Macaca mulatta: one gene and its partners. The protein of the gene in region 4 purifies or fractionates together with the protein of the main gene of each other region. This does not show direct contact. Links are inferred from orthologs where the notes say so. Each region holds a gene or a part of one and is shown on either strand. Other genes may lie near its edges.

What was found.
Region 1: the proteins of MAPK6 (region 4) and CEP170 purify together in Homo sapiens (affinity purification with mass spectrometry; 3 studies listed by BioGRID and IntAct, with this or other methods). This does not show direct contact. The link is inferred for Macaca mulatta from reciprocal best matches to the Homo sapiens genes MAPK6 and CEP170.
Region 2: the proteins of MAPK6 (region 4) and NEURL4 purify together in Homo sapiens (affinity purification with mass spectrometry; 6 studies listed by BioGRID and IntAct, counting the BioPlex papers as one, with this or other methods). This does not show direct contact. The link is inferred for Macaca mulatta from reciprocal best matches to the Homo sapiens genes MAPK6 and NEURL4.
Region 3: the proteins of MAPK6 (region 4) and ECI2 purify together in Homo sapiens (affinity purification with mass spectrometry; 3 studies listed by BioGRID and IntAct, with this or other methods). This does not show direct contact. The link is inferred for Macaca mulatta from reciprocal best matches to the Homo sapiens genes MAPK6 and ECI2.
Region 5: the proteins of MAPK6 (region 4) and ECH1 purify together in Homo sapiens (affinity purification with mass spectrometry; 3 studies listed by BioGRID and IntAct, with this or other methods). This does not show direct contact. The link is inferred for Macaca mulatta from reciprocal best matches to the Homo sapiens genes MAPK6 and ECH1.

Annotation. Positions count from the first base shown.
Region 1 is NC_133406.1:5,892,498-5,897,020, reverse strand, and holds the start of CEP170 (centrosomal protein of 170 kDa), read right to left. Parts: upstream 2,835-4,523; 5' UTR 2,614-2,834; intron 1-2,613. Other genes in the region: SDCCAG8 (serologically defined colon cancer antigen 8), read left to right, coding at 3,748-3,814.
Region 2 is NC_133421.1:8,811,176-8,813,841, reverse strand, and holds part of NEURL4 (neuralized-like protein 4), read left to right. Parts: intron 1-218; coding exon 219-377; intron 378-735; exon of another isoform or gene 736-752; coding exon 753-932; intron 933-1,062; coding exon 1,063-1,150; intron 1,151-1,246; coding exon 1,247-1,354; intron 1,355-1,490; coding exon 1,491-1,635; intron 1,636-1,813; coding exon 1,814-1,926; intron 1,927-2,016; coding exon 2,017-2,182; intron 2,183-2,666. UniProt on the Homo sapiens protein: Promotes CCP110 ubiquitination and proteasome-dependent degradation. By counteracting accumulation of CP110, maintains normal centriolar homeostasis and preventing formation of ectopic microtubular organizing centers.
Region 3 is NC_133409.1:179,094,194-179,098,860, reverse strand, and holds the start of ECI2 (enoyl-CoA delta isomerase 2), read right to left. Parts: upstream 3,159-4,667; 5' UTR 3,139-3,158; coding exon 3,095-3,138; exon of another isoform or gene 2,992-3,094; intron 1,270-2,991; coding exon 1,107-1,269; intron 1-1,106. UniProt on the Homo sapiens protein: Able to isomerize both 3-cis and 3-trans double bonds into the 2-trans form in a range of enoyl-CoA species. Has a preference for 3-trans substrates.
Region 4 is NC_133412.1:29,311,962-29,316,469, forward strand, and holds the start of MAPK6 (mitogen-activated protein kinase 6), read left to right. Parts: upstream 1-1,497; 5' UTR 1,498-1,667; intron 1,668-1,868; exon of another isoform or gene 1,869-2,286; intron 2,287-2,536; exon of another isoform or gene 2,537-2,634; intron 2,635-4,508. UniProt on the Homo sapiens protein: Atypical MAPK protein. Phosphorylates microtubule-associated protein 2 (MAP2) and MAPKAPK5.
Region 5 is NC_133424.1:49,920,959-49,925,423, forward strand, and holds the start of ECH1 (delta(3,5)-Delta(2,4)-dienoyl-CoA isomerase, mitochondrial), read right to left. Parts: upstream 2,807-4,465; 5' UTR 2,803-2,806; coding exon 2,736-2,802; intron 2,532-2,735; coding exon 2,348-2,531; intron 2,205-2,347; coding exon 2,116-2,204; intron 1-2,115. UniProt on the Homo sapiens protein: Isomerization of 3-trans,5-cis-dienoyl-CoA to 2-trans,4-trans-dienoyl-CoA.

The DNA of each region.
Region 1 (4,523 bases), on a different chromosome or scaffold from region 4:
AAAAACTTAAGCATATACAATATTTAGTACTAGATGAGCATTATCTAATTGCAATCAGATACAATAATAAAACTAGTTCTTTTTTTCAGTAGATAAAAAGGAACAAGAAACTGATACTTAGAACAAATCAAACAAATCACGAAGCACAGAATTTTAAAAAGTACCATAGCAGCATTAATATGCAGAATGTATGCTAAGGTTTACAGTATAAATTTCACTATTCTAATGTTAAAATAGGGAACAGGCAGATTATTTCCATACAAAATAATCTCAGAACACAATGAAATTTACCAGTAAAATACATTTAAAGCATGATTGAATATAATTCCACACACTGAAATTTAGTTACACATTTTTTAAAGTTGAAATTTAAGATAAATAATAAATCCTTTAAAGAAGTCTATTAAAATGCAACATAAAATTAAACGATTAAAATTATAAGGCAAGAAAAGAGCACTTTATGGCAAAATCAACCCAATAAAAAACAAAGTCAATATATCTTAAAATGTAAATTCTAGTTTAAGTTGAAAGTAATCACTAATAACTCATTAATGATTACAACTCATTAACTGTGGTAAAATAAACATCACAGGCTCTTGTTATGCAGAAATTTTATTTTTAACACAGCCTATAGAGTTGATCATCATATTATTATAAAATACTATTGATTTTCAAGAAATAATACTAAAACCTACCATTAAGTAGTAGGGAAAACACTGCAACACTTCGTTTTTATGAAAAGCACATGTTAGGACATCTTTCCTCATTTAGTAAGTTACTTTATACAACTAAAGGTCCATTTCAGAAGAATTACTACTTTTACATCGCAGAGGCAAGAACTTGATTAATAACGGTGAGAATCAAGTTCAGTGATAGTCACAGCCTGCTCAAGGAGAGCGTAAAGAAGCTTTCCATACATTTTCACAGGGTAAAAGGGCTGGGGGGACACAGGAAAGATCACTCTGCAGAATGGACCTTGAGTTTCATTTGGCTCTGCCTTCCATTAACAGTCTGGCTTGGGCAGACAAGTCAGTTAACTTTCTGAGTTTTAGTGTCTTCCTCTGTCAAGTGCACTTGGGCTCTTCCGTGTTACCTACAAAGTTAGGAAGAGCTAAAGGCAGCCCTAGTTTTACTTTTTAAAAAATAATGACAGAAAAATACGTAACTTGCTATTCATCAGTGTACTGTTTCCAGAGCTGAATTCCTAAGTCTCTGAAGCATACCCAGCTAGGGTTATACCAGTGAAGATCCAGATACTATAGTCAAAATGTCACTCTCTCCTCTCCCATTATTCCTCCACCTGCTCCTCCCCATCCTGCGTTATCCTCTCTTCTGGTGTGTTTTAAGAAGCAACGCCAGCAAACGGCTGTATCCATTGTAAACTTGAGGATGAAATCGTTTTAAAAGATGCATTTTCAATCAAATGTATCATCTGCTTCGCCAAATTCCTCCCAAATGGCTAAATTTTCATTAATACAATAAAAATGAGGTAACAACTTCGGAAACAGAAATGACCTGGGCCAGTTGTTTTGTTTGTTCTACTTGCTTAAAAAATAAAACGGAAAGATGTATCTATTCCCTCAGGAACATAAATGCATTACCCGCCCATTGAAAAAACAATTCTGCTGGTTCATTTCCCTGACACAACAGCTTCGTTGTCAGGCCCTCTCCAGCCCAGGCTCCAATGTCACCTAGTAATTTTATATTGATCACCTTGGCAGTGCTTGGACTCCAGCAGGCATAGTCCCTGTCTCCCTTACATTCCTCAAAAATAAATTAAATAAATAAATAAAACTCTACGAAACGCCACTGAACAGAGATTCTGTGACTTAGTAGACAAATCCCACGTCTTCCCGCCCTGTGTTAGGCAGCTGCAAATGTTATTTTTTCATCGCTTGCATAAAATGGAAGCGAAACGTACCAAAACCCTATATTTGAATCCTAGGACAATGAAGCCGACAGGAAGCCACTCTCTCCTCCCCCGGGTTTACTACGGAGCCAGAGCCTCCGCGGGGTGCAGTCGCCTGGCAGGGTGCATGACAGCGCGTCTTCCACGCCCTCCCAACGCGTCCAAAAGGCTCCTCGCCTGACCTCGCCAACGGCCTCACACCTCAAAACCAACCACACAAAAGGGATCGGCCCGCGGAACTGCTCCAATCGGGGAAAAATCCCTTCCCCAGCGACAGCGCAGCCATTCCCTCCAATGCTCCGCCCGCACCCCTCGCAAACTGCTACGGCGGAAGGGGGAGGGCTGCACAAAGCCAGGAGAAAGCTGAAAATGAGTCAATGCACTTAGGGGACGCGGAGGCGGCGGCAAGGGACTCGGGAAAGCCGGGGGGCCGCAGGACTGGAGCTCCCGAGGGCGGCGGGTGGGGGATGGGAAGGGTGGTCCCGTCCAGACCCCGGTCCTGGGCGGGCAGAGGGTGGGGGTGGCGGCGCCGCGCGGAGCATCCGGGAAGCGCCCCCTTCGCGGTCCAGCCCCGCAGCCCCGCACCCCCGCCCCGCGGCGGGCCGCGCCCGAGTCCTCGCTGCAAACCCGAGGAGCAGGACGTGGAAAAGCAGCCGCGGCGGCGGCTGCGGCGCCTACACCGAGCAGCCGATCGCATCACTTACCCCTCACAGTGGCGAGAGGGACCGGACGGGGGAGGCGGGGCGCGTCGCGTCCCGTGAGTCTCTCGCACGCCGTCCTCCCCCCACCTCGTCGTCGTCGCCGCCGCTGTTGTCGTCGCTGCCGCTGCGGTCGAGCTCCGGGGCCCTCAGCTCCGCTGGGCAATAACGTTATTCCACACACGCCCCACACATAGCGGTAACGGCAAAGAGCGGCTGCCTAGTGCGCAGGCGCCTCGGGAAAGGGCGAGGAGCCGGACCCTATCCCCTCCTCCTGCCCAGTTCCAACGATTCCTTACTGCGCAGGCGCCAGACACAGACAATGAAAAGGGGTTGTGCGAGGGTCTCACCCACACGTTTTTCCAGCTTGCCCACTGCGCAGGCGTGCCCCGAAAGACCAGCTAGAACAATGAAGAGGACCTCGGAGTTAGGTGGGACCGCAACCAACAAGGACTACAGTTCCCAGCGGGCAGAGCGCCAACTCCAAGTGGAGGTCCGGTTACTGGGCATGCTAGGAGTTGTAGTGTCGGCCGCCTTTACAATTTAGGCTGTTTGGAGGATTTAGAGCTTCTATTTCTTGAGGATTTATTCGACCGTTAAAAAAAATACCGCAACCGAAGCAGGGTTCAGAGGTTCCTCTCTGCGTCCTTGAGTAACCTAGGGATCAACTGCTGCATATTAGCAAATTCGAAGCGTCAAGGCCTTCAGTGAACCCTTTCTGTCATTTGGGGTGGTCCAGGCGGCAGAAGAGCGGGATGGAGGCGGGACTAAACCAGGCTGGGCTGGAGGAAAAGGGCGGGGCCTGCAAGCCTGTCTCTTGGCAACAGGCTCTGGCAGCCCAACCGTCCGAGCTAGCGCTTGGTGCGCAGTGGTCTCTGGGAATTGTAGTGTAGCTGGAAGGCTCTAAAGATTGTCGAGCTTGGAGGCGCTGAACATGAGGACTACAACTCCCGAGGTCCAACGCGAGGGCCAGTGGGTGGGAAGAGCCCCCACGAGCTTCGTGCGGGATTCTAGGCTCCCCTGTGACAGCCGCGGCAGGAAGCAGGCCGGCGCTCCGCGGCCACAGGCCTGCTGTTTTCGGAAGGGAGAAAGCTGGACATTTCCCCACGTAACTCCCAGCTCTGGGCCTAGAGTGTGTGCATGGCGAAGTCCCCGGAGAACTCTACCCTGGAGGAGATTCTGGGGCAGTATCAACGGAGTCTCCGGGGTGAGTTGCTCCAAACCTCTGTCCCTAGCCCCGAGGTGCCCAGGGCCTAGTGGGCGGAAGCGGACCAGGTGCGTCTCCTAACACCTGGGTCTGCCCCATCCAGGCTACAGAGGAGCAAGATGGATGTTTGCTGTGGTCTTCTGAGGAGGATGAAGTAGTTTGATTTAGTTTTTACAGTTAAGCAACGATGTTTCCTCAGATTCCCTTAGTTACCTGAATCAACTCCTTGATCTTGGCATCCTTCTCAACCAGCGACAGCAGAGACTCTTGGATAGCTCTATGTCATTTTTGCCCAGTTCCCATACTTTGTTGTTTAATCCAATAAAAGTCTGATGCACAGTTTTTACACATTTAAATTATGGCATAGTGGATTGAATGTGATTTATAGGATCCGTGGGGGGAAACACTAATAATTATTTTAATCACAACAGCCCCCATTTAATTGGTCTAGGCTATTTGCATACAGTAAATCATCTGCAGCTTACAACAGTTGTATGAATATTTTACACATGGGGAAATCGAAGCTCAGAGAGGTTGAATTACAGGCCACAGCCCACACAGCTGGTTAGTTGCAGAGCCAGGTATTATCAGGCTTGTCTGTCTTCAAAGCCTATCTAATCAAGCCATAACTACTATTATCAAAACCTTATTAATTCAGATTGTCTTACCACATTACCCTATGAGCAAGTATCTGTACAAGTAATGTCTG
Region 2 (2,666 bases), on a different chromosome or scaffold from region 4:
ATGGTTCTTTTTTTTATTATTATTAAAAAAAAAAAAAGGGAAAGAAACAACTAAATTTGCATTTTCTGGTCCTTCCATGCATAAGAAAAGGCAGCATCCCAGGCCACATTCTGGGAGGTGCAGTATTCCCTCCCTGGCGGGGGGGTGGGGGGGGGGTGGGTAGCGAGCCTGGTTCTTCCCAGGAGGCTGTGATTATGGAGTAGTTCCTTCTTCCCCAGGTGCGGATAGATTTCCTAAACCGACAGTGGACATCTTCCCTTGTCCTGGGAGTCATCACCTGCGCGCCTGAGAGGCTCAACTTCCCTGCTTCTGCCTGTGCCCTCAAACGGGCAGCCTGGCTGCTGCGGGGCCGCGGGGTCTTCCACAACGGTCTCAAGGTGAGTAGGAGCCATAGAGAAGGGGCGGGACCAGGCTTGTGTGTAGGGAAGGGCTGGCCAGAAGGGAGAAGTGGGCCCCTAGCCTTGGAGGTAGGACCACAGGTGTAAAAGGGGGACAGTAATGGGCAGGCAAGGGTGAGTGGCGTTGCCTGGTCAGTTTTAGGCCTGCTGCTTCCTGCGGTGTCCCTGCCGTTGAGAATGTGCCAGTTTTGGGGAAGAGGAGGGGCTCTAGGTAACTGCAGCGGGAGGAGAGTCTCGGCAGCAGGCAAGCGTGGAGGCAAAGCCAAGGCGCTGGCAGCAGGAAGCAGAGCAAAGGGCAGGACGGCTGCTGTGGTGGAGTGTGACCTCTGGAAGACAGCCGGTCTCCCCTCCCAGATCTGTGAGAAGTTTGGGCCGAATCTGGACACGTGCCCTGAAGGCACCATCCTGGGACTGCGGCTGGACAGCTCTGGGGGGCTGCATCTCCACGTTAATGGGGTGGACCAGGGGGTAGCTGTACCAGATGTGCCCCAGCCCTGCCACGCGCTTGTGGACCTCTATGGGCAGTGTGAGCAGGTTAGTGGCAGTGGGGGCAGGGAGGAGGGGTGCCTAAGAGTCTGGGCCATCCAGGACGGGGAAGTCTCTGTTCCAGAATCATCAGGCCCTGGGGTCTGACCAAGCTGTCTGACTACCCTCTCCCCTGCAGGTGACAATCGTGAACCCTGAGCCAGGGGCTGCCAGTGGGAAAAGTGCTGGAACCCAAGGGGACATGGAGAAAGCAGACATGGTGGACGGTGTGCCAGCCCAAAGGGACCCCGCTCCTGCCCCTACTCCCCTGCCCCTACCCTTCTAGCCTAACTCCTGTGACCTGTGCCCCTCTGCTCCCTCAGGTATCAAAGAGAGTGTGTGCTGGGGCCCACCACCCGCCGCTAGTCCTCTAAAGAGCTGCGAGTACCATGCCCTTTGCTCTCGCTTCCGAGAACTCCTGCTGCTTCCTGGTGAGTCCCGGTCCCCAGAACCGACTTCATCCCCAGGGCCAGGCCCAGAGCCGTGGAGAGCAGCTGAAGGGTGCCAGTGTGGCTGAGATCAAGGGTGGGAGCCACAGCACCAAGCCTGCTACTTACTGTCCCGCAGAAGATTATTTCATGCCTCCGCCAAAGCGAAGCCTGTGCTACTGTGAGTCTTGCCGGAAGCTGCGAGGAGACGAGGCCCACAGGCGCAGAGGGGAGCCTCCCCGGGAATACGCACTGCCCTTTGGCTGGTGCAGGTTCAACCTCAGGTACATACGGGCAGGGTCATGCCTTTCCCCTACTGTTTTCCCCCTGGAGAAATGGAGATCCCAAGAAGGTGCATGGAAGAAGTGATAGAACTTCCTGCCTAAGGAAGAGCCTCGTGAAGCTCCTCCACTGGGGAGCCAGTGTCCTTCGTTCTATCTGCCCTGCTTGTCCACCTCGTAGAGTGAATCCCCGCCTGGAGGCTGGGACACTAACCAAGAAGTGGCACATGGCCTATCATGGGAGCAATGTTGCAGCTGTACGGAGAGTGCTGGACCGAGGGGAGCTGGGAGCAGGTACTGGGGAGCAGGCCCATGCAAGGTGGGCTGAGCCTGGGGGGCTGTGGAGGAATAAAAAGGGCTATCTTGACCCAGTTCTCCTCCCAGGTACTGCTTCCATCCTGAGCTGCCGTCCTTTGAAGGGAGAGCCTGGGGTAGGGTTCGAGGAGCCTGGCGAGAACTGTGCACCTCCTCGGGAGGAGCAGCCCCCTCCTGTGCTGCTTTCCCCCTCCCTTCAATATGCTGGGGCCGAGACCCTGGCCTCCAAAGTGCAGTGAGTACTGGGAGGGGTGGGGAGAGATCTCCAGGGGCTCGGATGAAGAGGGCCTGAGCGCAGCCACTGGGGTCTTCATGATTTGCCCTCCCCTTTTCTCACCTCCTCTTGCTAGCTGCCAGTCTCCAACTCAGCCCTTTTTTCATTCATTGAACAAATACCACTTATATACTCTTCTAGTGGGCAAGAAAAGGAACCTTGCTCTTGTGGAACCTCTGCCTTTTCTCTCTATAATGTTCATACATAATAAGTATTTATTATTTATTTATTTATTTTTGAGACGGAGTCCTGCTCTGTCATCCAGGCTGGAGTGCAGTGGCATGATCTCGGCTCATTGCAACCTCCACCTCCCGGGTTCAAGCGATTCTCCTGCCTCATTCTCCTGAGTAGCTGGGACTACAGGCGTGTGCCACCAAGCCCGGCTAATTTTTCTAGTAGAGATAGGGTTTTGCCATGTTGGCCAGGCTGGTCTCGATCTCCTGAC
Region 3 (4,667 bases), on a different chromosome or scaffold from region 4:
CAAAGCCACACGTCCTTTGGGACAAGGTTAAATTTTTTTACTATACACACCCATATGAAAGAGAAGCTCATACCCATCATAGCACAGAAAAACAGATAACACAGGAGCCCAGAGAGGCAGATACGTCGGGGAAGTCTTTGGCATTGAAACTTCAAAGCTTTAGGTTTTACATTTTGTTATAAACATTTCCAAACATACCAAAGTAGAATACGATAATGAATTCCCAATACCCATCATCCAGTTTCAACAACGATCAAATTGCCTTACTTGCTTCATCTCTCTCTCTTTTCTTTTTTTCTTTTTTTGACAGAGTTTTTGCTCTGTCACTCAGGCTGGAGTGTAGTGGCGCAATCTTGGCTCACTGCAACCTGATTCAAGCGATTCTCCTGCCTCAGTTTCCCAAGTAGCTGGGATTACAGGTGCACGCCACTACGTCCAGCTAATTTTTGTATTTTTAGTAGAGACGAGGTTTAACCATGTTGGCCAGGCTGGTCTCAAACTCCTGACCTTAAGGGATCTGCCCGCCTCAGCCTCCCAAAGTGCTGGGATTACAGAAGTGAGCCACCATGCCTGGCCTCATCTATCCCTTTCTTTCTTTTTTTGCTTAGAGAACTTCAACTATCCATTGTTTCACCCCTATATCCTTTAGTATGCACTTCTTAAAAATATCAACATTTTCTTATATAACCTTGACACCATTAACAATGATTTCTAGGTATCTTCTAACACTCTGACCTTATTCAAAACTTCCCCAATTATCTTAAAAATACCTTTTTCAATTGATTTATTCTAATCAAGAGCTAAATAAGGTCTACAAATGTGAATATTATATCTCGTAAGTCTCTTTTACTCTGGCATGACACTGAGGCACTTTGTGCCTTGATAATATTTCAAGGTCTAATATTAAAAAACTTGCGCGCATATACATACATACATATATATACACACACACACACATATATATATACACACACACACACACACACACTTAAGAGGGAGCAAGACAAACCCAAAATATTAAGGCTACATTTTAGTAAACACACAGTTTATCTACTTAAGGAGTCATTTGCCTAAAATTATTTAAATGTCAGACCGTAGGCATTTACCTGCTTATACAGTGAGTAGAGTTTTAGCTTCACTTCATTTCCTGGATCCTTCTTCAAGAGTTTCACTTGATTCATTGCATTTTCAAAGTCCTTCTGACTGGCTCTCATTGCTGTTCTATTCAGGTGCAGCTGAACTACTGGGAAACTAATGACCTGCAGAGAACTACAATTAGGCAGACTGATTTCTATATGTTCCCAACCCTCACATTTCTGCAGCCTGATTTCTAATTGTTCCCAACCCATACATACTAAAATGCTATGTTTGTCCATATTTTCTTTATACTTGCCTCTGCAAACTGGCTGCAAATAATTGGCTGTAAGGATTCCAAGATAGTAACTCAATACGGAAGCTAACAGTACTAACTTTAAATAAATGGAAAAGTAAATAACCATCCAGGGAAGTATTTGTAAGCAATTTAAGATAAAAACAGCCAGAACAGGAATACCATGTAAATTTTGCCAAAAGCAAGAAGTGAAGCGCATGCAAGACAGTGAACAGCAAGAGACCAAAAAGCTAAAGTGCACAGAATTTTGTAACGTGTCCCAAAGTCCTGAAACAGCCTCTGCACTCACTGATAAGCCATAAACTATATCAGGTCAATTCTTGTCTCTTTGCTGGAAAACCGGTTTCCAACATACACACAGGTGGAAGGAAGGGAGAATGGATGTGAATATACAAGAAATATTCAAAAGGGCATAGGAACAGTTGCTGGCATTCCAGACAGAGCCACAGCCTTCTCAGCAGATGGGAGGGAATCTACCTGCAGTGGAAGGGAGTCAGTGAAGGAGGAGGCTCAGCAGGCGTGCCTCCTTTTGTGGGGATGTTTAACCAGCCAGCCAGGAACAGAGCAGAAACAGTAACCACCGCGGGGTGACGAGCAGGTTTTTAAGCACACATAGTGAGCGGGGGTGGGGTGGCAAACTTCAATGCACAGGACTCAGGCAGGCCACAAGCAAAAAATGGATGTTCACGACGATGACCCGGAATAGTAGAGTTAATGGCATCAAAGATGATTAAAATAATACAGGTTACAAAGCCCAAACCTCACACACAAACACAATTACGTAACTCGAAAATGGTACAATGAACTCTAGGTTCAAACTTTGGACTATTAGTAACTGATTCAGTAAGATCAGCCTACAGTAAGTTTTATATTAAAATGATTTTCTGTAAAGGGAAAAACTGCATCTTATATGGCAAATTCCAAGTAGAAAACGAAAGAAAAATTTAAAATGTCCACAAAAAGAAGAAACGTCAAGTTTCCACAAAATGTGGAACAAATTATTTATTTTTAAATAAAGCGTGAGTTTTAAAAACAAATAGCAAAAACACGACCATTTAAGAAATACATAAAGTCGGGAAAATCACTAATAATTTTACCACTTCAAGGCCACCACCGTGTTTCGGTTTTGTTCCCTACACACAGATTCGTGCGGGGTTCCCGGGACCCCTGGGACGTGGAGCGTGCTGCTTAGCCGTGACTGCGTACCCGGCCATTTCACTTTATAGCATACGAGTTCTCCAAAGGGCAAAGAGTGTTAAGTCCACACGAGTGGTAACGGCTTGCGTTTACCTCGCTTTTAGCAAGCAACGCTTTGCACCCCAGAGGCAGCCCGGCTGGGAAGTGCAGGCCCGGGTGTCCGGGGAACCACCGTGCCCAGCTGGGGCGGCTCACCCGCCCGGAGTCCGGCCCCCGGAGGATGGGAGTGTGCGCGAACGCAGGCGGAGACCTCGGGGACTGCGGACAGAGAACCATAGCCCTGACCTCCCGACGCGCCCATCCTGACCCCTCTGGGCCCATCGGTGCAGGAGGGCGCGCGAGTGAGGTGGTTATCCTTTAGTACTGCCTCCCTGGAAAACCAGCAAAGAAAGTCCTGTTGCCACCTAGACAATAGGGAAGGAGGGTCTTCCAACGGCGATGACCTTCGCCTGGACAGCGGTATCCTGCGGGAGACCTTGGGCCGGGAGGCCGGGGCTCCAAGCTTACCTCGGACACCAACGCTGTGCAAGTCTCCAGGCCAAGTGCGCCATCGCTACCCGGTGGGCGGCTCAGGGGCGGGGCCGGGGCTCGGGGGCGGGGCCTGGGCTCGCGGGCTGCGGAGGTTTGGGGGTGGGGCCGGGGCTTGGGTGCGGGGCGGGGCCGAGAGCAGAGCCCAGGCAGGAGCCTGGGGCATGGGCGGGGCCAGGGTTGGGGCGGGGCCAGGCTGAGAACGTAGCCTGGCCGCTTTCGGCGTCAGTAGCCCGTGGGCGGCTCTGGGGCTGCGGGGGCTCGGGGGTGGGGCCGGGGGTAGGGGCGTGGGCGGGGCGGGGTCTCTAGGCGGTCAGGATCCGGGACTGAGATGCGGGGGCGGAGCCAGAGCGAGGCGAGGTATCACCCGGGAGTGGAGGAAGGGCGCGGGGTGCGGGGACGGTGATCCGGGGAGGACCTACGCGGCGCGTGGGGCGGGGCACAAATGCTCCCGGGCCTGGCTCGGAGGAACTGCGAGCTGGAGGCGCGGCTGTTCTCTGGGCGGACCTCAGCAATGCGAACCCTGCCGTTGCCGGAGCACTGAGTGCCCTTCCCGGAGTCCCGCGGAGCCTGGCGAGGAGGGGTCGCTGCATCCCGAGGGCCAGCCGTGAGCCGGGAGATGGGGTAACAATTGAGGGCGTATGCTTAAGAGCAGCTAGGTCATGCACCCCCAAATCGAAGATTTGCAGACCTGGTAGGACACCTGGGAATCAGAAGTGATTTTTGGAGTATGCAACTTTTTAGTGTCAGTTAAGAGTTCGTGGATATTTTTGAGTTCTGCTGAGGCATATGCAAAGTATTTTCTTTGGGGAAGAATTCTTAAGAGTTGGAAGGGCCTTGGCTGTGTCACCTTGTCCAGTTCCCAGAGAACCAAAAAACAAAACAGAACAAAACAAAACCACCCCTCTAAATTCTGTGCCCAAGTTGTCCTATCCAAGCATGCCTAGGCGTTTTAGTATTAGGTAGCTGACACTTGTGGACCATCGATAGTGAGCCAGGCTAATTGTAAGTCTTTGGACAACCCTGTAAGGAAAACGATATTGCCCTTTTGAGCTGATGTGGAAATTGCCCTGTTGAGCATATTGCCCTGTTGAGCTGATGTGGGAACTGAGACCCAGAAAGATTAACCTGGTGAATTCCCCAAAGACATGAGGCTTGCAGGTGAGCAGAATCCAAGTCTCAAGTAACTTTAGCAGTAAGTTTCATCAGATAGATCTGGCTAATAGTGTAGGTAGGGCAACACCGAAAGTCAAGTAGAACAATTTGGGCTTATCCCAAAGCCTTTCTCCAGATATATTTTTTTGTTTTTTTGTTTTTGTTTTTGAGATGGAGTTTCCCTCTTGTTGCATAGGCTGCAGTGTGATGTCACAATCTTGGCTCACTGTAACCTCCACCTCCGGGTTCAAGTGAGTCTCCTGTCTCCGGCTCCCGAGTAGTTGGGATTACAGGCATGCGCCACCAGGCCTGGCTAAATTTTTTGTATTTAGTAGAGATTGGTCAGACTGGTCTCAAACTCCTGACCTCAGGTGATTCACCCGCCTCGGCCTCCCAA
Region 4 (4,508 bases):
ATTGACGGAAGAGGAAGGTAAATGAGTTCTCAAACAGTGAGAGGAAAAATGTCCTTAGGATCAGAGGAGAGCCTACAGCAGGGGCAATGGGGCTGAAGGTAAGAGCTCTTGTTGCAGAAGTTGGAAATTCTGCGGTTGCAATAAGTCTCCCCTTTCTCTTGGTTTTATTCACTCATCACTTCTTCTTCACACCTGGTACTCAGCTGACGTTGTTTTAAATATTAAAAAATAGAAAGCATTCCAGCTCACCCCAACCACTTAACTTCATTACTCTGTGATTTTTTTTTTTTTTTTTTTTTGAGACGGAGTGTCACGCTTTCGCCCAGGCTGGAGTGTAGTAGCGCGATCTCAGCTAACGGCAAGCCCCCGCGGGGTTCACGCGATTCTCCTGCCTCAGCCTCCCGAGTAGCTGGGATTACAGATGTGAGCCACCACACCTGGCTTGTTTTTGTATTTTTAGTGGAGACGGGGCTTTCACCATGTTGGCCGTGCTGGTCTCGAACTCCTGGCCTCAGGTGATCTGCCCGCCTGGGCCTCCCAAAGTGCTAGGATTACAGGCGTGTACCACCACGCCCGGCCCTTTGTGATTTTTTTTGAAGTGGCCTTTGCCTCACTCTTGAAGATGCCCATAATAATGGCTAAGGGGCTGTTGTATGGTTCTCATCGGCATTGTATGGTGATGAAGTCATTGAAAAAATATGCTGACCTGCATCTCTAATTTCATAAATACTAAATTTCACATAAACACTGGAAAGGCTCCTTGGACTCAATATGCCATTAAAAGTAATGTAAGTTTGCTTTTAGCCAAGAAGTGGGCCCAAGAAGGTACCCATCCACCTTTCTACGTTTCACAGTGCATCCATTTTCAAATTCAAATTATCCTATCCCAGTTCCTGCAACAAGGCAGGTACTCTGGCCTCCCAGTCTTTGCTTACACTGTTCTCTCGGCAGAAACACCCTCCCCTTCACCTCCTGGTTACATCCGCTCCTCCAAGATCTAGCTGAAAGGCCACCCGTGGCGACCTCTCCTAAAAGCCTTCCTGCATACTCTCTGGCAGAATGAATGACCTCAGTACTTGGCCTCGGACGCGTCTGCCTTGTGCTCCGGCTGCCGCCTTCCAGCCTAATCCATCTGGAGGACCAGCCTTCCTGGAGACTGAGGCCTCTTCCTCTCGGATTGCCCAGTGCTCTGCACGTAGTAGGTGCTTAGTAAACGCTCGCACTGGGTTTGGTCACTTTGTTCCCTTAATGCCGGGGCAGGTAGTGGAGCAGAGACGGCCCCGGCTGTCTTCCTTCTTGCCCGCCCGCAGGCAAAGCCCCCGGAGGCGCAGGACTAGCCGCGTGCCTTTCCCACCGCCCCCGCGGCGCGCACAGCCCAGTCACGGGCGCTGGAAATTCCGGCGCGTGCGGGCGCGCTGGGCAGGGCGGGGGCGGGAGAACCCGTGGAGTGAGCCTGTGACGTGAGGGGGCGTGGCACGGCGAGGCCCCGCCCCCTCTCCCTCGCCCTCTCTCGCGGGTCGGGGTTACATGGCGGCGACTGCGGCAAAGCGAGAGCCTCGGAGACGCCGCTGCTGCCAGCACAGCCGGAGACCTGAGCCGACACTGGGGGCTGTCCGCGGGTCCCGCACTCTCTCAATGAGTCGGAGAAATCCCGTGAGTGTGTGTGTGTACGTGTGCGGGGTGCGCCGGCGGGGCGGCTCGGGAGGGCGCCGCGGCGGGCCCGGCAGCGGCGGAGCCGGCTCCCTCCTCCATTGTGTGTGACCCTCCGGCGGCTGCCGCTCAACAAAGGCGCTTTTGTTTGGTCTGCCGCCCGCCCCCTGCTCGTCCGCTTGCCCGCTCTCTCGGGCCTGGCCGGCGCGTCCCCGCGCGGGCCGGCGGGCGGCGGGCCGGGGTCTCCGCGTGGGGCCGGCGAGGCGGCCAGTGGGCCCCTCCCACCCGGCACGCCCCTCGCCGGTCGCCCTGCCGGGCTGAGCCCGTTCCCTGGCCCCGCACGCCGGCTGCCGCCCCGCCACCTGCGCCCGGCTCCGCGGGTTCGAAACCCAGCCGGACCGGAGGGCGGGCGAGCGAGAGGCGGCGGCCCGGGGAACATGAGGTGGCGTGGAGTCTCGCCTTCCTGGCACTCTGCCTTTCGAAATGCTCCCGCGTCTCCTCCCCCGTCCCACCCGGTGACTCGGCCTCAGCTGACTCCGGCCGGGCAAAGTCTCCAGTGGCGTAGCGCGCAGCGCTCTCCCGGCTCGCCTCAGAGCCCTGAAGTCCGCCCAAGTTTTGAGTCTAGCCATGAATGAGGTACTGAAAACTCGGAGACGAAATTCCTAATTTCCTCCCCCGGCCCTGCAGTCTTGCCTTAGCTTCTTTCGGGACCTTAAGTGGTGTTCTGTGAAAGTGCCCAAATGAAAGCTTGTTTTGTCGGTTCACCAGAAAGGGCCTTGTCACTTTGCTGTGCATTTTAGTCCGCCTTGTGAGTTGTGTCGAAAAGTAAAGGTGTTTTGGCAACCTTTTGTTTATTGACGAGTGTAGGACCCAACCGGTTCAGGTGTTACGGGGGAGCTCTGTGCAGCAGGAGCTTCTCGATTCCTTTCCTGTTTTATTTTTTCTTTTGCTTGTTCATTGGAAAAGGTCCAGTGAAAGGGACTGGTGAGTTGGAATTAGAAGCCGACTTGTATTAACGTCGTAATTCATGTTCATTGCTAAAGATGCAGTCTAAGTAATGACTTTTTTTTTTTAATTTTAACGGATACAGATGATTTGTCAAGGGGAAAAATTAACATGCCGTACAATGAAGAGCAAGCAGCTTCAGAGTAATTTTCTGATGGCTGATTCTTCTAGCCTGTCTCTTACAGTTCCGATTGGGCATGTCCTCTCTCTTTAACGCTGGAAAACCGAGATGGAAAGAATGATCTGACCAGAAGAATGTAGGGTCCAAACAGGGCCTGGCCCTGAAATCAGGAATTTCTTCATAGAAATGTCAGATTTTAATTTTTAAAAAATAATTTTGAATTGGGTGAAAGAAACTTTGTCTTTAGATAGTAATTGTTCAAACATGTTTATGAAGTGTTTGCTATGTGCCAGGGAGTGTAAAGTCTTTTCACATATGTTACATCATTTATTAAGAATTGCCTTGTTAAGCGTGTCAAATTATTTATTGATGTCCTGAATTCAGTAATTGCAGTTAATCTAGAAAATATGCCAGATTTGAGCAGAACATATTTGATCACCTAGGTATTACTGTTCAGAAGAAAACACTGGAAAATGGAGAATATTTTAGGAAAAACTTCGTATATGAGGATATTTTGGAATTCAGTTATTTGCAAAAGAGGATTAGAAGTAGTCGTTGGCTACTTGTGATTAAAAAATCCAGAGAAGAGTGATCTGAAGTAAGTTAATTTTGCAATTAAAAAAATGCACTCATTCTAAAGACAAATGTTAGCACTAAAAGTGTTGCAGTGCTTTACATAAATTCATTTAAAGCATCGTGAGAATCAACTGACAAAATAGTAAGGTTTGCTGACTCAGGGTCCTTTGCTGAAGGGGATGGGGTCGGGTAGGAGGAAGCTTACAAGTGCTGCTGCAAGTTTTGAGTTGGATGATGACTCATGCTGCCCACGGACTGCTACGTGGCTTTTTTTTTTTTTAAATTGTATTTTTTTTTAAATGATAGGCTAAAATGTTCCTGTCCACATTGAAATTCTCTCTCATTTTTTTCTGAAGAGGAACAGCAGTTTCTATAAAGTAATGGCTTCTTAAATTGCATTTTAAAAGGATATCCTATACCCTACAGGTGGAATTGTGTAACGTTTGCTGAGAGGAAAGGTAAAACCAATTGCTGGTCAGGTGCTGAAATTAAATGTTTGATACTAACAGGTTTTTGGCTACTGCTGAGAGAGATTTGTTACAGGTTATTTATAAAGGACAGATAGTACTTTTATGGTGTCGTTAGAAATTGACCTTATATTTTTATTGGTTATGTGAGTTATCTTTATATTTAATATTTAATCAGATATGGCTCTGAATATGAAAGTTTCACTCTCATGGAATTATTAAAACATGATTATATGTTGTGCTTTGTGATTTATGTGAATTTTCTGTTTTAATAAAGACAATTTGAAATAGGTATTAGGCACTATTTTTCATTTTTTTTTAAGATAAGCTGAATGTACAGTTCCAAATTTAAAACTTTAAGTTGAAACTTGGTAATAAGATACATCTTTTGACTGATTTTAAAACAGGCAACGTTTAGCAAGTTGGCTTAAAATAAGATTGAGAGGGGGAAAAAGATTGAGAATGGCAGTTTAAGAGTGGGGCTGGGTGCGGTGGCTCACACCTGTAATCCCAGCACTTTGGGATTCCACTGAGGTGGAAGGATCGCTTGAGGCCAGGGGTTCAAGACCAGTATGGGCAACATAACAAAACCCTGTCTCAATTTTTAAAATAAAAGAAAAATTTCCCACCCATCCTCTAGTTTTTCTGTGTATACTGTTTAATTTTTCAAATGGATTTGAGGAGTTTGT
Region 5 (4,465 bases), on a different chromosome or scaffold from region 4:
ATGCTCAATGGCAGGAAGAAAAACATGCATGAGGCCGAGCGCGGTGGCTCAAGCCTGTAATCCCAGTACTTTGGGAGGCCGAGGCGGGTGGATCACGAAGTCAGGAGATCGAGACCATCCTGGCTAACATGGTGAAACCCCGTCTCTACTAAAAATACAAAAAACTAGCCGGGCGTGGTGGCGGGCGCCTGTAGTCCCAGCTACTCGGAGGCTGAGGCAGGAGAATGGCGTAAACCCGGGAGGCGGAGCTTGCAGTGAGCCGAGATCGGGCCACTGCACTCCAGCCTGGGTGACACAGCGAGACTCCGTCTCACAAAAAAAAAAAAAAAAAACATGCATGACAAAAAATAAATAAATGACCAGGTACAATGGATCACTCCTGTAATCCCAGCACTTTGGGAGGCTGAAGTGGGCAGATCACTGAAGGCCAGGAGTTCAAGACCAGCCTGGCGAAAACAGTGAGAACCTGTCTCTACCACAAATATAAAAATTAGCCGGGCATGGTGCCGGTTGCCTGCAATCCCAGCTACTCGGGAGGCTGAGGCAAGAGAATGGCTTGAACCTGGGAGGTGGAGGTTGCAGTGAGCCGAGATTGTGCCACTGCACTCCAGGCTAGTCAACAGAGTGAGAGTCCTTCTACAAAAAAGAAAAAAAAAATTAGCCAGGCCTGGTGACAGGCACCTGTAATCCCAGCTACGCAGGAGGCTGAGGCAGGAGAATTGCTTGAACCCAGGAGGCAGATGTTGCAATGAGCAGAATTGTGTCACTGCACTCCAGCCTGGGTGACAAAGCGAGATTCTGTCTCAAAATAAATAAATAAATAATGAACCAAATGGGAATTGGAGAATTGAAAACTACAATATCTGAAATTTAAAATCAGTGGGTGGTACCTGGGCGCAGTGGCTCACACCTGTCATCCTAGCACTTTGGGAGGCCTAGGCGGATGGATGACCTGAGGTCAGGAGTTTTAGACCAGCTTGGCCAACATGGTAAAACCCCATCTCTACTAGAAACACAAAAAATTAGCTGGGCGTGGTGGCAGACGCCCGTAATCCCAGCTACTCGGGTGGCTGAGGCAGGAGAATCACTTGAACCCAGGAAGCAGAGGTTGCAGTGAGCTGAGATTGCGCCATTGCAACAAAAGCGAAACTCTGTCTCAAACAAAACAAAACAAAACGAAAAAATCTGGGTGGGCTTTACAGGAGGACAGAGATGAGGAAAGAGTCAGTAACTGTGATCAGTGGAAATTCTCCCATCTGAAGAACAGGTCAGTGGGTCAATCCAAAGATCCAACTGACCTGTAACTGGAAATCAATGAGTGAGTTGCAGAGTTGCATGAAAGCATGTTATTATATTATATGCTGACACAGCTATAGACTGAGAGGTTAAGCATGTTCTTCATGGCCATAGATCCAGGATGGAAACCCAGACTTCAGAGCCTATGATCCCGTCATGTTCTGTTGGACTAATTTTCATATTTGAATGTTTTAAATTAGGCCTTTAAAAAAAAAAAATGATAGGGCTGGTGGCACCTGCCTGTAAACCTGGCACTTTGGGAGGCCGAGGTGGGAGGATGGCTTGAGCTCAAGTATTTGAGGTTACAGTGATTTATGATTAGGCCACTGCACTCCAACCTGGGTGACAGAGCAAGATCCTGTCTCCCAAAAAAAAAAACCACACACACACAAAAAACAGATAAAACTGTAAGTTAGGGGTCGGAGTGGTGGCTCACGTCTATAATCCCAGCACTTTGGGAGGCTGAGGCAGGCAGATTATGAGGTCAGGAGAGCGAGACCATCCTGGCCAACATGGCGAAACCTCGTCTCTACTAAAAACACAAAAATTAACTGGGCGTGGTGGCCCGCGCCTGTAGTCCCAGGCAGGAGAATTGCTTGAACTCGGGAGGCAGAGGTTGCAGTGACCTGAGTTTGCGCCACTGCACTCCAGACTGACAACAGAGCAAGACCCTGCCTCAAAACAAACAAACACAACAAAACGAACAGCAAAAAAAGTGTAAGTTAGAAGCTGCTTAAAATCCTAATTAAGAAGCACTGCTCCACTGTCTATTGCCAGGAGCTGGGAAGGCTGGTAGGGTGTGTGAAGAGCGTCTGGTACCTGCAGTGAACATTTTTCCTGCACCAGAGATCACCACCGCCCGACAGTCAGCGTCTCTCGAAATCTTGTTGAAGCACTCTACCATCTCTCTGTGAAGCAACGAGTGAAGGGCTACAAATGGGGTGGGAATACCCTGCCCTCATGTCCATCTCCCCACAAGGTTCCACTCTGGCTCAGTCCCGCAGCCCCCGCCTCCCCCAGCAGGCAGGCCTCCAGGATCTGCAGGTCACACCTCCAGAAGGCCTTGTTCATGGCATTCCTCTTGTTGGGCCGGTTGAGCTGGACATGCAGAACGTGTTTCTGCGCAGATGTCACACGAAGGGACTCATAGCTGTGGTCTGGGGCTTCCTCTTGTGCAGAGGAGCCAGTGAGGCGAAGGCTAATACTGAGGCCCGAGTAGTTGGAGGCTGTCAATCCTGCGGAGAAAGGAAGAGCCTTTGATGACCCCAGACTCCAAGACACAGGCCTATAGAATTAGGGAGCCCTTCAAAAGGGAGCACACGCACCCCTGAATTTAGGGGACTCGGGCCCTTCGTGACCCCGGATGGGCCTCCCCGTCCTACAGCTGCTATAACAGCACGACAGCGCGATACACCACCATAAGTCAAGAGGTGACTCACGCCGGCTCAGTAGGTCGCGGAGTCTGCGAGAAGCCACTATCCCCGCCGCCATCGCCGCCGCCTTCATCTACGGCGTTGGGACCGAGTAACCCACCAGTTAGCGGAAGGGGCGGGCACAAACGGCCGCCATGTTGAGCGAGGGCACCGATGCCGCAGCCTGACAGGCAAAGACGCCGTTCTCCCCGCCATCTTTACTAAGGGCAGCCGAGTTCCGGTTGCCTTACATAGTTAGAGCCAAGCTCAGAAAAGGACCCTTTGCCCCAGTGGGAACCTGGCCTGAGAAAATAGCTCCTGCAACGGTGTGAACCCGGGAGGCGGAGCTTGCAGTGAGCCGAGATAGAGCCATTGCTCTCCAGCTCTCCAGCTTGGGAGACTCAGTCCAAAAAGGAAAAGAAAATAGCTCCTGCTAAAGTTCATGACACCGCTGTTTCATAATGGTGGAATAATTGGCGACAGCTGAAACGTCCAAGGACATAATGGCAGCAGAGCTTGTCATCATGCATGTGTATATATCATGTTAACTAAAAATAAAACTTGCATTACTGTGAGTTTACCCACGTAAAGGAATGAGTACAGACGAGCCAACATTAAGCGCTGACTGTATATGAACTCCCACCGGGAGGTCGTACTGTTTCCCACTATATGCAGAGGAAACTGACTCAGGCACGGGAAGACACGAGGTTCAAGGTCTCTGGGCTTCAGAAGGGCTAAAGTAGGATTACATGGTTCCAGAGTTCATATTCTTAGGCCGGCGCGTGGCTCACGCCTGTAATACACTTTGGGAGGCCGCGGCAGGCGGGAGGTCAGGAGTTCAAGACCAGCCTGGTCAACATGGCAAAATCCCGTCTCTAGTAAAAATACAAAAATTAGCTGGGTGCGGTGTCCGGCACCTGTAATCCCAGCGGGAGGCTGAGGCAGGAGAATGGCTTGAGCCCAGGAGGCGGAGATTGCAATGAGCAGAGATTGCGCCACTGCACTCAAGCCTGGGTGACAGAGCAAGACTCCGTCTCAAAAAAAAAAAAAAGTTCATGTTCTTAAAAAAAAAAAAAAAAGCGAAACTCCCTTGGTAAAAGCCAGCTATCCGAAGGCATAAAAAGTACTTTAAAACTGCTGGCTGGGAGCGGTGGCTCACGCCTGTAATCCCAGCACTTTGGGAGGCCGAGGCGGGTGCATCACGTCAGCAGATTGAGACCATCCTGGCTAACACGGTGAAACCCCGTCTCCACTAAAAATACAAAATATTAGCCGCGCGTGTTGGCGGGCGCCTGTAGTCCCAGCTACTTAGGAGGCTGAAGCTGGAGAATGGTGTGAATCTGGGAGGCGGCGCTTGCAGTAAGCCTAGATAGCGCCACTGCAGTCCAGCCTGGAGACAGAGAGAGACTTGGTCTCAAAGAAAAAAAAAAATTAGCGGGGCGTGGTGTTAGGTGCCTGTAATCCCAGCTACTTGGGAGGTTGAGGCAGAAGAATTGCTTCAACCCAGGAGGCAGAGGTTGCAGTGAGCCAACATCATGCCACTGCGCTCCAGCACTTCAGGCTGGGTGAGAGAGTGACTCTGTCTTAAAAAAAAAAAAAAAGTATAGCTGGACATGCTGGACATGCACAGAATACGGCATATGTATATAATATCTCTGGAAGAAGACTCAAACTGTTAACAGGAAATGAAATTGGATGCTAGGAGAGAAACTGGTAAAATTCACTTTTTTTTTTTTTTTTTGGAGACAGAGTCTCGC